2 linked regions of the Rattus norvegicus genome follow. The protein of the gene in region 2 purifies or fractionates together with the protein of the main gene of each other region. This does not show direct contact. Links are inferred from orthologs where the notes say so. Each region holds a gene or a part of one and is shown on either strand. Other genes may lie near its edges.

The links. The genes of interacting proteins can lie anywhere in the genome.
Region 1: the proteins of Capza2 (region 2) and Svil purify together in Homo sapiens (affinity purification with mass spectrometry; 3 studies listed by BioGRID and IntAct, counting the BioPlex papers as one, with this or other methods). This does not show direct contact. The link is inferred for Rattus norvegicus from reciprocal best matches to the Homo sapiens genes CAPZA2 and SVIL.

Annotation. Positions count from the first base shown.
Region 1 is NC_086035.1:57,341,395-57,349,193, forward strand, and holds the end of Svil (supervillin), read right to left. Parts: intron 7,399-7,799; coding exon 7,243-7,398; intron 5,957-7,242; coding exon 5,813-5,956; intron 4,918-5,812; coding exon 4,793-4,917; intron 3,745-4,792; coding exon 3,589-3,744; intron 3,504-3,588; coding exon 3,417-3,503; 3' UTR 2,516-3,416; downstream 1-2,515.
Region 2 is NC_086022.1:46,940,402-46,948,200, reverse strand, and holds the start of Capza2 (F-actin-capping protein subunit alpha-2), read right to left. Parts: upstream 4,162-7,799; 5' UTR 4,105-4,161; coding exon 4,066-4,104; intron 1-4,065. UniProt on the Homo sapiens protein: F-actin-capping proteins bind in a Ca(2+)-independent manner to the fast growing ends of actin filaments (barbed end) thereby blocking the exchange of subunits at these ends.

The DNA of each region.
Region 1 (7,799 bases), on a different chromosome or scaffold from region 2:
GATGTGACTGAGGCACAGGAGCCTGGGATGACGCCTACATTACAAAGATTAGTAGCAGTTTATGATAGTTTCCAGACATACGAATCCGTTCTAACGTCATCCACAAGGGACTCCCAGAGACCCATGGCATCGAATGTCCAGAACATTTTACCCAGCTCTGAGAGACAGTGAGAGAATGCAAGGCGGGGATGTGCTGGACACTGCTTCTGTCAGTTGATATTGCATCCATTCTGGGTTCCCCAAATCACAGTCTTACCATAGATGTCAGGCTGGCCTTGAACTCATGATCCTTCCGCCTCCACCTCCTGTGTGCTGAGACCACAACTCTGCGCCACCAAATTTGGCTTTGGGGATTTCTTCTTAATCTTAGTAGTGAAGCAGAGACACTGAGGAGAGTGCCTGTTCATTACTACATGTGAGGACACTGGGCTGTTACCTTTCTTTCTCAATCTGTCCTCAGGGATGAGCAATGTGAGACCAGTGGCTGGTCCCCAGTCTAGCAGGGACATCAGATCTGTAACATGCTCATAGGAGCAGACTTTTTCCAGTGACTTTTGATCTCATCCTTGGGTATATCTGTGGCCTGAGGTGTGAATCACCTTGACAGCCTGCTTCTGACGGAGCAGAGCCGAGCACGTGTGTGGAGCCGTGCATTTACTTTTTAAAAGCATGGCGTCTGCATGGGGAGACGTCTCAGTCAGTTAAGTGCTTATGGCAGCAGCACAGTGACCTGAGTTTAGATCCCAGCACTCATGTAAAAAGAAGTGTTTAGCAACACATGCTTAGGATCCCAGAGCTGGGGAGGCTGAGACAGGAGGATCCCCAAAGTTCACTGGACTGTCAGTCTAGCCTCATCAGTGAACTCCAAGCTAAGGGAATTTGTCTCAAAACTAAGGTGCAGAGTGAGTGGAGACCTGATGTTCACCTCTGATTTTCACACATGCACACACACGCAAACATTATATACATATATAATATATACATGTACACATACACATACGCATATATACATACATATAGACACACACATATAGACATACACATACATACACATGCACACACACATATAGGTATCCATGTTTCACATCCACAGATCCATTCAACCACAGATACTGACTTAGTTGAACTCAACATGTACAGCTCTTCTAGGTTTTAGGTGTTCTAAGTCATCTTGAGATAAATTAAAGTTCATGAAGCTATGAGAGGATTTTGAAAATGTTGACCCAGAAGGGTCTGATCCTAAAAGAGGGATAGAGACAGTGAGCTGGGGTCCGGGGAGGTGTTCATTCAGAGGCCAACATCAGGATGATGGCTCATGACTGCTGAATGATGTTGGGTACAGGTGCTGACACAAGAGTTTAGAGCACTTTGAACAACCTGGCTATGAGGGATGTGCTGATGACAGGGACCTAGCCCCTGCTGTCACTCTCAGGGACAGTCAAGTCCAGGTGTCAACGTGACCAGATGAAGAATATTAACCTGGGTGGGTACTCTGTGTCCACAAAGCGCCTGCAGAGGAGGAAAGGGTATCAGCATTGGATGAGAGGCTCTGGGGAGGGAATGTGGAAAGAAACAGACCACGGTATATTCCTCTGTCTCCTAAGCAGCAGGGACACTGGCTTTATGCTGTCCTCTTCCCAAGCTGGCTGCAGATGCCGGCAGACCTGTCTCTCTGTGACCCTCTTCAGATTGTTCTAATGGCTGCAAACATTCCTCCTTTGCTGCTATTTGGAAGATGCACTTTGAGTCCTCCCCTTTCCGTCATGTCTGGGTGCATGACTCCATCCTTTTACTTCACCTCTGTGCTATTTCATCTCCTGTCACAACAGCATCAGCACCAGAAGGTCCAAGGCACTGGACAATTTTCAAAGCTTATCTCCTCCATCTCTGTCCAAAGATCTGTGATGCTGGGGGACACAGGCTGTCTCCTTTCTTAGGAAAGGAAGGCAGGGATGTTTGGTGACTGGACAGTATCACACAGTCATAAAGCTGTGGGTCCAGGAGCAGCCGACAGGCTCCAGCCTTGGTACTGTCCCACAGTAGGGCATGGAAGCGGGCTGGGAAGTTAATACATGTTAAACTAGACGGAGCAGCGGCAGGCAGGGTGTAACAACTCACGGCCCATTCGCAGCACTCATGGTTTTGTCTCTTTTCAATTTCTATCAGTGCTGGGCATTGAACCTGAGCCTCCCACATGCCAAGCGAGCGCTCCCCACTGAGCCACCTACCCTGGTCCCATCCACAGCTTACACTTTAACACCTCACACATCCAGTCATGCTTGGAGAAAAGGCACTGAGATCTTAATACAAGCAGGGATGCATCTGTGGCATTGAGAACATGCGCAACGTTTACGGCAAATTTACAGGTCTACCTAACCTTACACCGTCCCGGAAAACTCCTGCTCTGTGCTGTGCTCCGGCCTCAGCAGTTGGTATCAATGCATCACACTGGGACTTGATTGACAGCTACAGAATTTCTCCCCCCACCCCCACACACAAAAGAACAGGTACGGAATTCAATGTAAACTGATCAATGAGTTGTGATTACTCTGAAATTTTATTTTTGGGATCCTGTGTCACAAAATGACGTGTGTAATGTTTACAATGGGTATGAGAAATTGAGATGTTTTTATCTCTACTGAGAATAAAACTGTAGATAAGGTTCCAAGCCGGCATCAAAAGAGCAGAGCAAACTTTTCTGTATATAAACTGTACATAAAACAAGGCACTATACACTTCCGGGGGGGACATTAAGGTAGAAAGGTTGATTCAGATAGATTCTTCAGAGTCACACCGGGAAGTAGTACAAAGTCTTTGCTCGCTTTAGCACCGGAAGCAGAACTCGGCACAAGCCAGACCTAAGGCTGAGGAGGCAGTCCTGAGCCTGGGAGAGACTGGTGGCAGGCCTAGGTCAACAGAAGTGACACAGCCCTACACTTGGTAATGTCCTTTTGACACCAAAGGGAACAGTTGCAAGTGAATGAATACATAGCTTGTTAAATACATAGTTGCTTTATATGGTGTTTATATAAATATATATATATATATTTAGAATTCACAAACTATCAAAATAACACTTTATAAAGAAAATTGCTTTAAAAAAGGCAACGCTGAGCTGGAAGAGGAGGGTAGGGCTGCAGCGGCCACTGAGGCAGCACTCGGCTGAGGGGAACGGAAGAGACGCTTTCTTTTCAGTTCACCTGAACTGTGGAAAAGAACGCTCCGAAGAGTACTCCTGGACATTTACAGAATGCTCAACTCCGGGACAAGCCATAGAGCGAATAAGGTCAGGTTTTGAAAAACTCTGAGTCAAAAATACTTTCTTCTCTGACAGAAAAAAACACCAGTCCAAATATATATCTCCATCCACTTTCTGGTCTAGTGGCAGTGACCTCTCTGTGGCTGTCATCTCACCCTCAGAACAGGCCTTTCGCTTTCTTCAGGTTCATTTGCTTCCAGGTGGGCAGTGCGTTGAATTCATCTCTGGTCATGTCGAGTGCAAACTGGAAGAGATTCGAGAGATGCCCAGTGAGTGACTGACTGAAAGGATGCTCTCCCACTGTGTCATCCCACTCGAGGGTCACTCACCTCGAAGTCTTCATCTGTAAGATAAATCTCAAGCTTTAGAGGGTCTACCCCCTCTGGGAGTGGCCTGGCAAGTAGATCTGCCAGAGGATAGATGGTTTTACACAGCTTGGCTAAGACGTCTTCCACCAGGGTGATCTGGTTGGAAACTTCAGTGTCCTGGAGACAAAGCATAGAACATTTGAGCAGACGAGTGCTATCTATGGATTGCATGCAGACTCCCAGCTATGCCCCATCTATGCACAGCCCGGGGAGGTCTGAGTAAGGCATCAGGCCACTGTGCAGTGGGGGGCCTAGATGTCCAGGAATTACCTTCTAGTCTTCATAGCCTTTCTCCCTGCAGCAGGTTTCAAATCAAACCTCTTTCTGAACTGCTTCCAAAAGAGTGAAAGGACGAATGCATGCATGAATGTTTAGGGACTCAGACTCCATGAATGAACAACAGAGAAAGATTATTGGGCCTAAAATCAAACCATTAGATGCTTGCACATAGTGGAATTTGTTTGAATATATTTTAAAATTATCACATTCAAAAGAAATCATGCCCTCTCCCCTTCCCCTAGGATTCATTTCTTAGTCCACATGAGACATAAAGAAAGTAAGGGTAAGGGTTTAGCTAAGGAGGGGAGTAAATGCCTAAAATGCAAAAGGCCCTGGGATACACACACACACACACACACACACACACACACACACACACACACACACACACCACAGAAGGGGGAGAGATATTCTGGGGAAGCTATCTTGATCTCTTATACTTGGGTCTGGGAAATGCTGCCTCCTCTGGGTTCTTGGATGGTGCATGAGTTCAAGCTCAGGTTCAAGCTATGGGGCCGAATCTCAGGGAGAAGTGGGTGAGGAGCTGAGCCTGCACCCGTGAATCACCCCTCACTTGGCGACTCAGAGATTGGAGGCAAGTGTTTTATGTGTTTTAAGTGTTTTATGCCTCAGCTCTGACACGGGTAAAAATGGAGACAATAGTAAGATGAACCCTACTGCACTGTCCTGGTAATGAAATGAAAAGGTGCTGTGGCCTTGCCAAGGCAGTACGCAGTGAGCCGTCACTGTTATACACCGTCCCCCCAAGTCCCTGCCACGCCCGATGAGCTACAGGAAGTGCAGGGATCCTGGGACAACCTCTGTCTTGACCTTAGACTGAATAAGGCAGCTGCAATGCCCATAGTCCTTGGAGCCCCGGGCTCACCATTTCTGTGATTTCGGCAATGTCTTCTCTGTGTTCCCAGCTGGGAAACATGTTAGTGAACGTCAGGGGCTCTAGCCCAGCATGGATAAGGTAAGACTTGGGGGGTGGCCTTTTGAGATTCTTTCCTGTGGGGACACAGAATGCGCATGTCAGTGGAGTCTGTCCTGCTTTTTCTCAGGCTCCTCCCATTTTTCTTCCATGTTTAAATGTGCATCATAACAACGCATGGGTGCTGTTTATCTGAAAGGTGACTCATGTTTATACGATGCAGATGCACTGATGTAAACCCCCCTCCAATCTGGCAAAGCGTTTATGAACCTCTGGGGGGACAGAGAGCTGTCTAGAAACTCCCACCAGGGACGTCTGCTTCCCTTTCATTCCCCTGGAGGAGCTTCAAGAGCACGTGACGGGCAACGGCAGCACCTTTCAGATGCCTGAGCATTTGGTGGGATTTGAAAGATGCCACAAAGAGCTCTCCATGGCAAGAACCAACCGTACACACTCCAGGGCATTAAGGGAGCCAGTAAACTATCGGCATGCAGTCAGGACATTAGTCACTGGTACCCGCTTACATTAGTTACTGGTACGCGCTTTCTGTAAAAGGCCGGATTCCATGTAGATGTTAATTAAGAAACTATGTTTTGGTTGTTTTGTTGTTATCATTGGATACAATACCAAAAAAAAAAAAAAGAGGCTGGTATTGGCGTTTAGCCAGTTTGGGCACATTTCCCTTCTCTAATGCTGGCACTGCCTGAAGAGAGAACTGTGCCATGAAGGTCACTTAGCCACTTACCCCCATGTTCAGAGTGGTGTCAGTGCAGGTGGTTCCACAATATACTATGTGGGTGGCCCTGCTGTTTGAAAGGGAAAGACGGACTTTCCTTTGTTCTGGTGGCAGAATGTACTGATCTTAAGATCGACAAGCCTCCAGCGGTTTAAGGGGAGTGCTGGAGCCTTGTCATGGCTGCGGGAGACTCAGAAGGAACATGGCTAGGTCTGTGGTGGCCTTCCACCCCTCACCTCGGCAGTACTGCAGGACTGTCTCCATGGCGCTCTTCCGGTCTGAGGCCCAGCGAATGCGAGCAGAGCCGGTTATCTTGTTTTCGGTGGGCCACCAGCCTTGCCAGAGGTACACCTCGTGATGGTTGTCAACAAGGAAGAGAGCTGTTAGGTAAGAGCAGAACGGGACCATCAGGGATTCCTTCACAGAGCCCTGCTGCTCTACCGGCTGTGCTCACATCCCTCTCCCTTGGTTCAGAGTGATGGCTTCTCTGCACACTCAGCCCTGAGCTTAAACTCTGACGGTCCCAAGCAGCATGTGGAAGGTGACCCAAGCCTCTTTGCAGACCTCCCTTTCCCAGATCATCCACAGATTGCTGGTGGCCTTTTCAAATGCTCAGGGCTCTGATGTTAGCTACCTCTGGTCTCCAAAGAGCTCACATTTGGTTTGCCCTCAACCCCCATGATGCTCTGAGGAGTGACAGTTCTTTGACAAGGACGTGAACTTTGAACAGAATCCTCCTGGCTCTACCTCCTTGTCTTTAAGCCTCCACCTGACTCTTGTTTTGTGTGGCAAATGCTTTCCAACTTGTCATCTCAGTGGCCCCAAGGACCCTCTTGATGTGCATTTTGGGATTGCTTTAAAAGCCAGTGGTTGTTGCTGATCCATCCAGAGCCCAGGAATGCAAGGACAGGGAGTAGCTTTCTCTTTTAGATACTCGTGGCTGCTGCCCATAGTGTGCCCATAGTGTTATGTATGCATCAGACAAGATCTGAGCTAGTGGTAGGGAAACTACTGTAAAATAAGGCTCCAGGCTTTGGCCAACTATGAGCTCATAGGCTTGATTGGCAGGAAGGTGGGAGGGCCTACAGAGCTCATTTCCTTTGCATAGGTTTGAGTATTAAGGTGTGACTTGGTGAGAACACTACTGATCTTGGAATTGGGAAACCAGGTCTGCAGTCTTAGCTCTGCTGAGGGCTTGCCCAAGTTCTTCCTTGGCCACTTGCTTTTCCAGAATCCTTTGTAGCTGGAGTGACCACATGACATCTTCTGGCCAATGGGATAAAGCTGAAACGTTTACTGGAGCTAGAGGGATGTAAGAAACTCCCCCTTTCCTGTTTCCTCAGTTTTGAATACAAACATGAGAGCTGGAGCTGGAGCAAGGGCGGCTCACAAGGGACCATGAAGCAGAACGTTGGAGAGGAAGGCTGGGAGAATGGTAAGGATGCCACGTGGCACTGTCAACTGCTCTTTGATGTAGGAAGTAACTGAGTTCAGTTCCTGATACAAAACTACGCGGCTGATTTTCTTGTTTTCTTTTGCGGTGGGTGGATAAAAGGAGATGCCCTAAGCAAGCCTGCTAGTATAGTTGGCAAATAGGAATTGTTTACAAAGAGAAGGAAAGGCTTCCCGGAAGGTGCTACGCGACCACGCCCTCTGCAGGGCTTACCTGGCTGCGGCGCGCTGTACAGATCCTCCTGCAGGAAAGGCATGGAGCTGACGGCAGAGGGCGCTCGCGCGGGGTACACGAACTCTGTCGCTGAGAAGTCTCCTGAGGAGCTGCTGAGGATGAACAGGCGGGGCGCGAAGTTAAAACTTCCAGGATCTTCCAAAGAAAAGAGAACAAAGCTAAGGAAACCATATGGACCAACTTCCAGATGGACTGAAGGTAAAACATATACCAACTCAAAGAACTGGAGGGAAATCAGCAGGATTTGGTTTATATAGCCTCTTTCTGGGAAGTCTGTTTCAGTTATTTTTGCAGTGTTGGGTATCAGACACAGGCTTCGGGCATGCTAGGCAAGCACTCTACCAATGAGCAGTGACTAAACCTCTGCGTGCATGTGTGCGTGCATGTAGATATGTACACACCAGACAGGCAGGCAGGCAGGCAGGCAGACAGACAGACAGACAGACAGACAGACACACACACACACACACACACACACACACACACACACACACACACACACACACACACACATGGTAAGCATAAAAGATCAATCC
Region 2 (7,799 bases):
AATTTAGGAAAAAAAAAATTAAGACAGCTAGATTTCCATAGAAAAATCTGACATTATATGCTTTTATTCTTCATGACACAGGTTTTCTTTCAACTCTGTGAACTATAGGCTATTCATTTATTTACTCACTGAACCATTTTACTAGTTGCATGCAGGGTACTGGCAGGTGCTATGGATGACATCACTTCTGTACTTATAGAACAAGGAAGAAAAGTAAACCAGAGAGCATTAAAAAAAAATTGTACTTAGTACCAATGATGATTTATTAAGTTCAAGAGAGATTAAATGAGCCAATAATCTGAACTGAATTGCAAGAATAACATTTCTATCTTTTTAAAAAATGACTTGTTTTTATTTTATGTTCACTGGTGTTTTGCCTACATGTGTTTCTATGTGAGGGTGTTGGAACCCCGGAACCAGAGTTACAAAAAGTTGTGAGTTTCCATGTGGGTGCTGGGAATTGAACACAAGTCCTCTGAAGAGCCAATTACTACTCATATTTACAAATATATTCACAAAGTTCAGCAGAACCTAAGGCCAAGAGATAAACCTACTCAAGATGTTAGAAAAGGACCAGAGCATGATTAAACAGCATATATGAAAAGTGTCACAATTTTCCAAGTAGAAAGGAATACAAAGCCACTAGTTTGGGATGGCTCCAAGCTCCCTGAGTGTGGGGGTTGGAGAGGTGCATCATCATGCCAAGCACTAGGCACTGGTATTTTTTGAGACTATAGAAAAGAATAGTTTGAATATAAGTAGCCAGAGGAATTAATCTACAAACGCCCCCCCAACACACACACACACACACACACACACACACACACACACACACACACACACACACACACACTTGCCCATAGCGAATGCAACAGAAAGGAAAAAACAGATCTGACACAATTTCTAGGTCTCTTAACTTTAATTTTTATTTCTTTCTTAAATGCTACTATTGACCTAACTGTACTATTTGATTGGTGAAATTCTGTTACAACCTGATAATCTTGTCAACCCAGAGATTATGAACTCAATACTAACATAATTATTTTTTACAAACAAGAAACAAATTATTTGTGTAAGACATTTTTGATCATGATCATAAAGATGACAAAATTTTGCTCTAAGGTACAGGTCAAGCAGAAAAGAATTTAACAAAGCAAACTTGAAATATAGGACCTACGTGACTACAGCAATGAGAACAGGGATGTATAGAAATGGAGGGGGCCAGAGATAAAGCTTAGTTGGAAGGAGGCTTGACAAAGTCCAGGCTTCATCCCCAGCTTTAAACTCAGCAAGACAGAGTGCATGGTACAAGTAGGAGGACCAAAAGTTCAAGGTCATCCTCCACTCGATATACTGTTCCAGGCTCACTAATGCTGCAGTACCAAGAGCAGCCGCCATAGAAGTGTGCTCACTGGTCCAGGGAGAAAACTCTCTCAACTATTACTGTCCTCCTTCAGCAGAGTTTGAGAATGGTTCTCTTTGAGCTCTATATAACAATTTCATACAGTGTCAAATTCACGAAAATGCTTTATTATACAATTCAAATGAACTAAGAAAGAATAAGAAAGAAAAACTCTTTCTGGCTTGGAGTTTCTATAACTATGTAAAATTTACAGAGTCACACTATGACAAATTAATGCTGTTAAGGAACTTCATAGTTTCTTCAGCTAAATTTACTTCCTTATTAACACTGTGGCCAAAAGAAATTAAGCCATAAAAATCACAGTACATTCAGCCTAGTGTCCTAGATACTTTCCCCCTTCTGTTTGTTTGTTTTTGAGAGAGAGTTTCCCTGTGTAGCTCTGACTGGCTCGTAACTCAGAAAATCAAGCTAAACTTGGTCGGACTGAAACTTTTTCCTCCTGATCAGCCTTCAGGGTAGTGGGATTACAGGTATGCCTACAACGCCCAGTCAATCTCTTTCTGTTGTTGCTTTCTATAGGCTGGCCTCAGACCTAGAGATCCTCCAGCCCCAGTTTCCTCAGTACTTAGATTACAAATCTGCTCTGCCACACCCAACTACGAATTTCTAAAATGTCTCATCTCACAGGACCAGTAAGAAACTATAAAGCAGCAGCACACAATGTTCACATTACATAAAAATAAACTTCTTTTTAAAAGTGATGAAAACAGAAGTTTACCAGTTAACATTTTCACTAAGTATAAAACATAAATTTAGAACCTACAAAGAACCACTGCTTCCTTTTTAAAAATAAACAAATTGAAAACCAAGATATAAAACCAGGATAGTTCTACAATCAACTTCAAGGGAACATAATGTCATTAAGTATGCAAGCAAACCTGAATTCTGACAAACTTAGGTTTAAAGTTCACCTCTGCCATTTCCCTCCTATATAAGGCTTTTAAAATCTTAATTTACTTACAGGTAAAGGGTAATAAAACTATCTACTTCAAACTTAAAAAAGAAAATGCAACCTATTTTTCTTATGTGATAAGCACATACAAACTACAGTATTACACATCATAGTACCTCCCCTTCTTTAGACCTAAAATCTAAACAAAAACTCAAGTGTAAAAAGTATTTAAAACTTACTCCTGAAAATCACAAGCAAGGAAATAACAATAGAGAAGCATGATTTAAGAACTGGTCTTAAATATTACAATTGAATCCATTTCTGATCCATATGGAACACCCTCCTTCTAAAACAGTACAAGTCTACTGGGTAATAAAAGTGACAAGAACACTGTTTTCAATTTACTGGGTTATTTAAATTTCACTAGAAAGTTAAGCCACTGATTTCTTCAATTTAGAAAATACTGTTATAAAATCTGAATGTGAATCCCACCCTAAGAATTCTCTTCTCACTATCTTCCAAGTCAATTGAGCGCTTAAAAAGTACATGAAAGAAAACAAAACATGAAAAAAAATCCCTCCAAGAACTTTCAAACATTATTTTTCCTGTAGTGTGCACTGGTATATTTTCAATTAACAGCTTAACACTATTCAATGTTACTGTACAGCAACTTTTATGGACTTAAGAGTCTAACTCTGTGAATTAAAGTATGTTTGCCCCCATTTTGTTAGGTTATCTACCCTTAGTGGTTCTCTAACACCCAACTAAAATTGAGTATGTTTCCCACACCGGTGTACTTTATCTGGAACTTAAAAACTAAGCTAAGGTCAGACATTTCCAAAGTGCACCACACTCATGTCAGTCAAGTCTTAAGTTTCAAAAAACGTCTCGGTCTTTTCCAGAAAATATTCAAAATGTATAGAGTTCCCCTCACAGTACTCGCCCCTAGGTATGAGGTCGCCCTCAGTCGCCAAAGAAAATGGGCAAGAGTCTCAGTTCAATCAGATTTCGTATCACAAATGTGAGAACTTGAGTCCTGCATTTGGTCCCAGTGCTGTCACAGCATTTAACACACAGTAAAAGGAGTTGCACCCGCTCGCCCTCTTCGGAGTTGGTCCTATCAGGAAGATGGGATGTCACCAAATCTGCCCCAAGGGGGGGAAGCGGCCAAGTTGGACAGAAAACAACTATTGGGGGGAGGTGTCTTTGTGAACAATACTGCCTTCCGGGGAACATGGGAGCAGCAATTAAAAAAAAAAAAGGTAATGACAATATTAATAAAAGAAATGGATGGCAGGGGGTTGGAGGGAAAGGGGGCGGGATGTAGAAACTGCGACCTCCAGAGGGAAGGAAACACCCTGGAGAACCAGGAAGCACTTCGCGTTGGGGAGGAGAAACTGCAGGAAAAAGTGAGGGTCGGCTAAGCCGTTTCCCCCTCCCGCCCGCCTCACGGCGAAAGCCCCAGGCCAGGCGGCGCCGCTCCGCTGTCGGCCGCTCCCCAGCCCGGACCCCTAGGGCCCGGTCCCGCCACCCCCGCTCCGGCCCGCGGCCGCCCGGCTCCGCTTCCTATTTTCGGAGCACACACCCTACAAGGAGCGGAGGGGCCCGGCCTCCGGGAGCCGAGGCAGCACCCCGCTCGAGAGGCGCAGGCGTGCGGCCCACCACCAGAGCCCGCCCGGGGTCAGATTCCAGCCCTTGCGTCTCAGCTCTCGGTCCCGTCCGCCCTGCTCTTCACCGCCGCGGCGCCTACCTTCTCCTCATCGGACAACTGCTCCTCCAGATCCGCCATCTTCCTTCTGGCGACAAACCGTGGCGCTGGTGGCAGCAGCGGCCACCTGACTTCCCCCTTTCCGTGCGGTCTTCCGCGCCGCGCGCCCCCGCCAAGGGAGGGGCCCGCCGCCCAGGCCGCCGCGCACGCGCCCCGGAGCTCCGCCTCCCGGATCCAAGCCACTGCGCACACGCCCGGGAGCTCCGCCTTCCTCAAGCCGCCGCGCACGCGCCCCAGAGCTCCGCCTCCCTCCCCTGATCGCAGGCCTGAGCGCCACTGTGCGCGTGCGCAGCGCCTCCAAAGTCGGATTGCTATGGTATCTTCTGTCATCCTGCTCTGGTGCCTTCTCTACCCAATGATGACCATATGGACCAGGTTGGCGATGAGTACATTCTGAGCCCATGACTTTGTTCCCACCAAGTCCTGAACGCTGCCAACAAAAAATGTGAAAAGCTGTACCAATTTAAAACATTTTTAAGTATTAGGAAAAATACTGTTTTAATTAAAATAGGCACACACAATCCAGTCCATAATTGAAAGATTACTTTTGATATATTCATTTATTCATCCAAAACTATTTATTGGTCTTTTATAATAGGAAGGCCCTGGTGCTAGTTCTTAGGAATAAGAAAAGGAGGAAAAAAAAAAACCCAGACAAACCTAAATCCCAGAGAAACTGCTCTTAAGCTCACCTCTATTAATTAGACATTAAGTTAGGGAAGGCATTGTACTCTTGGAAGGAAATAAAATGTTAAGTTAGCCTTGGATGTGTACCCTCATGAACTGGCTATCCAGAATACTTACAGGACATTCACTAGAAATTTCAATTTCATGCAACCAATTTTTAGGTAAATATCCTATGAAGGATTTGAAACATTCTAAAAACATTATTTATTGTTTTCACATTTTACTGGCTGTCTCATTTTTATTTGCTAAATCTGGCAGCTCTACTACTGAAGCTTCAATTATTAAAAAAAAAAAAAAAGTAAGGATGAAGTCAAAGCTGACACAAGAAGCAGCCAGAAACATTGTTAAAATTGAGTTGCTAGTTCAGTAGACCTGAGTGGACCAGAGAATCTATATTTCTTACAGGTTCCCAAGTACGAGGAGTGCTATTCATCTGAAAACTACCCTTTGTTTGTGGAGGACTTAGAATTTAGCTAGGAGTTAAGACTTTAATAATTAGAAAGTGAGAAGCCATTGAAGGCATTCGGACAGTGTCACGACATGAACGGAACATGCTTGGCAGTGTCAGTCTGACAGCTGTGTGTAAATAACAGGTAAGAGTGCCCTTAAGAGTTCAAATAGCTATTTGGGTCCAAAAACACTATCATTAAGTGACTTACTAAAGTGTTCGTTTGCAGAACAGAAGAGGAAGCTGACACTCGAGGGAGCTGAAAGTGTCCAGTTGAAGATAAACCCATGGAGACAGTATGCAAGTTAATAAAGTACAGTGTCTGGCCAAAACTCTCAGGAGCGACAAATCAATATCAATTTCCTCTTTTATAGTTTCTAAACCCTCGCTTTATTTATTGCTCCCGGCAATTGTGTGTGCTCAAGTATTACTGTACCTCCAAACCAAAGTTCAGTAATTTAACCAACGCTGCATGCTCCCACATGACTGAATCCTAGGCATTTTTTCAACATCCCATATTCTTTCCACTGCCAGAACTTTCTCCCTTTCTCCACAGAATAAAACTTAATGGAGGTACCCTCTCTGGCATGCCAGCAATCCAGTTCACAGCACCTGCTTCATCAACAATCTCTCTGGAATTCAGGGTTTTCCCTCCAATGTTGTTCCTGTTGACTTAGCATTTTATATTTTGTGCGGTGGGTACTCAGTAAATGTTGCATAGTAACTTACGGGCGGCACTGCTCTTTACAAGCTTCGCCAAAAATCTCATACGGTTTTGCAATAATCTGAGTCAGAGTATGTTTCTAGCTGTGTCTTTGGTCATATTCTACATATGGTTCCCATAGTAATTCAAAGAGCAGTTAATTACCTATAATGTTGAATAGTCCCTATTGTAATCTCTTAATGCTACCTTCTTGATACAGCTAAAGAGAATTGCCGAATTTAAGTGACATGTATTTGGAAGGGATTTCAGTAGGTATGAATAAGAACTGATTGTTACACGACTGCATGAAGAAACGTGCTGGTATCTTTGCCTCTGGTGCTTCATAATCAAGAGGTAAGCAAAAGTTTCCTTACACAGTTCTACCCACATGAGAACTTCTACCCCCTTTCTCTCTAAGATAAGTTTTATTTACTCCTTGAGAATATTAGAGAATATATTTTGATCTTATCGAATCCCTTCCTCCCTCCCCAACTTCACCCACATCCTCTCATGATCTTTCTATTTAATTTTCAAACTCAATACTCTTTTGCTTTTTGGTGGTTGGGCCTGTCTTTTTAAGATTGCTTTAAAAAATATTCTTTTAAAATGTGTATTGGTGTTTTGCCTGCATTTATGTCTGTGTGAGGGTGCCAGATCCCCTGGAACTGGGGTTACAGACAGTTGTGTGTGACCACATGGGTGCTGGGAATTAGCAGCCAGTGTTCTTAACCACTGAACCATCTCTTCAGAACTGCTTTCTTTTTCTCAATTTCCTGTCGATATGCTCAAAGTCTGTAGCTATATTTTAAATTTATCATGAAGGTTGGTGGGATGGCTCAGCAGATAAAGGTGTTTGCCAACAAGCCCGATAATCTGAGTTCGATCACGGATCTCCAGAACCCACACAGTAACATGAGTGAACCAACTTCTCTAAGTTGTCTTCCAACATACACACATACTGTGGCATGCACCTCCCACAAACTTACTGTGGACAGAGGTTACCTGATTTCATAGACACAAAATCTTGGGATCCATTACTGTGGAGCAGTTTCCTTGGAGATTAAAATTCTTTGTCCCAAGTCTAGTTGAGTTAACTAGTGGGTTGAATGGAGTTATTTACAGGAGTATGGTGGCTCCATTGGGAGGGTAGCCATACCAGCCTGGGTAATGACTCATAAGAGTAGCCCTCTGAGAGGTGTCTGTGTGATCTGTAGACAGTGAGTCTCCTTTCTCCACTGATGTGATAACTGCTCATATAATGTGTAAAGCGCAAGAACAAGACTTGTGACTTTTGTTTACTTCTCGAGCCTTGTAAATTTCATTACTTCCTGACGCTTCCTATGACTCCTGCTGGAAAGGAGTGTTTTGATTCTGAGAATATAGCTACAAAAACCCTCATTGAATCTTGCAATGTCTTTTTTTGTCCTCCCAGACTCCTGTGTAAAGTTTTCCATTGATTTTTTTGTCATATACCCTAGTGCAAAGACATTCATATTTTATACTTATTAACATCTAGGGTCTGCTTTTTTTTAAGCTCCAGTTAGCCTTGGGAGACTTACTCTGACTGTTCTCATTTATTTTCATTTGCAGTTGGAGATATTACTGGTGCCGCTCTTACAGGCCTGTTCTATGGACTTACTGAGATCACAGGCAGTGTGCTTAGCATCCGGGTCAGCATTAAGATAAGTCTTAATGATGTTAGTTATTGTCATCACAGTACCATCTGGTCTTCGAGACCATGGCCTATGTCTTTATTAGCTTCTGGCATATCTAGTGTGTGGAGCATAAGCATTTGAAGAGAAATGTTGTTGGAATGCATATCCAGCTATTCATTTCACATACCTGAATGGGAATTTAAAATTGTGCTAGTAGTCAGGT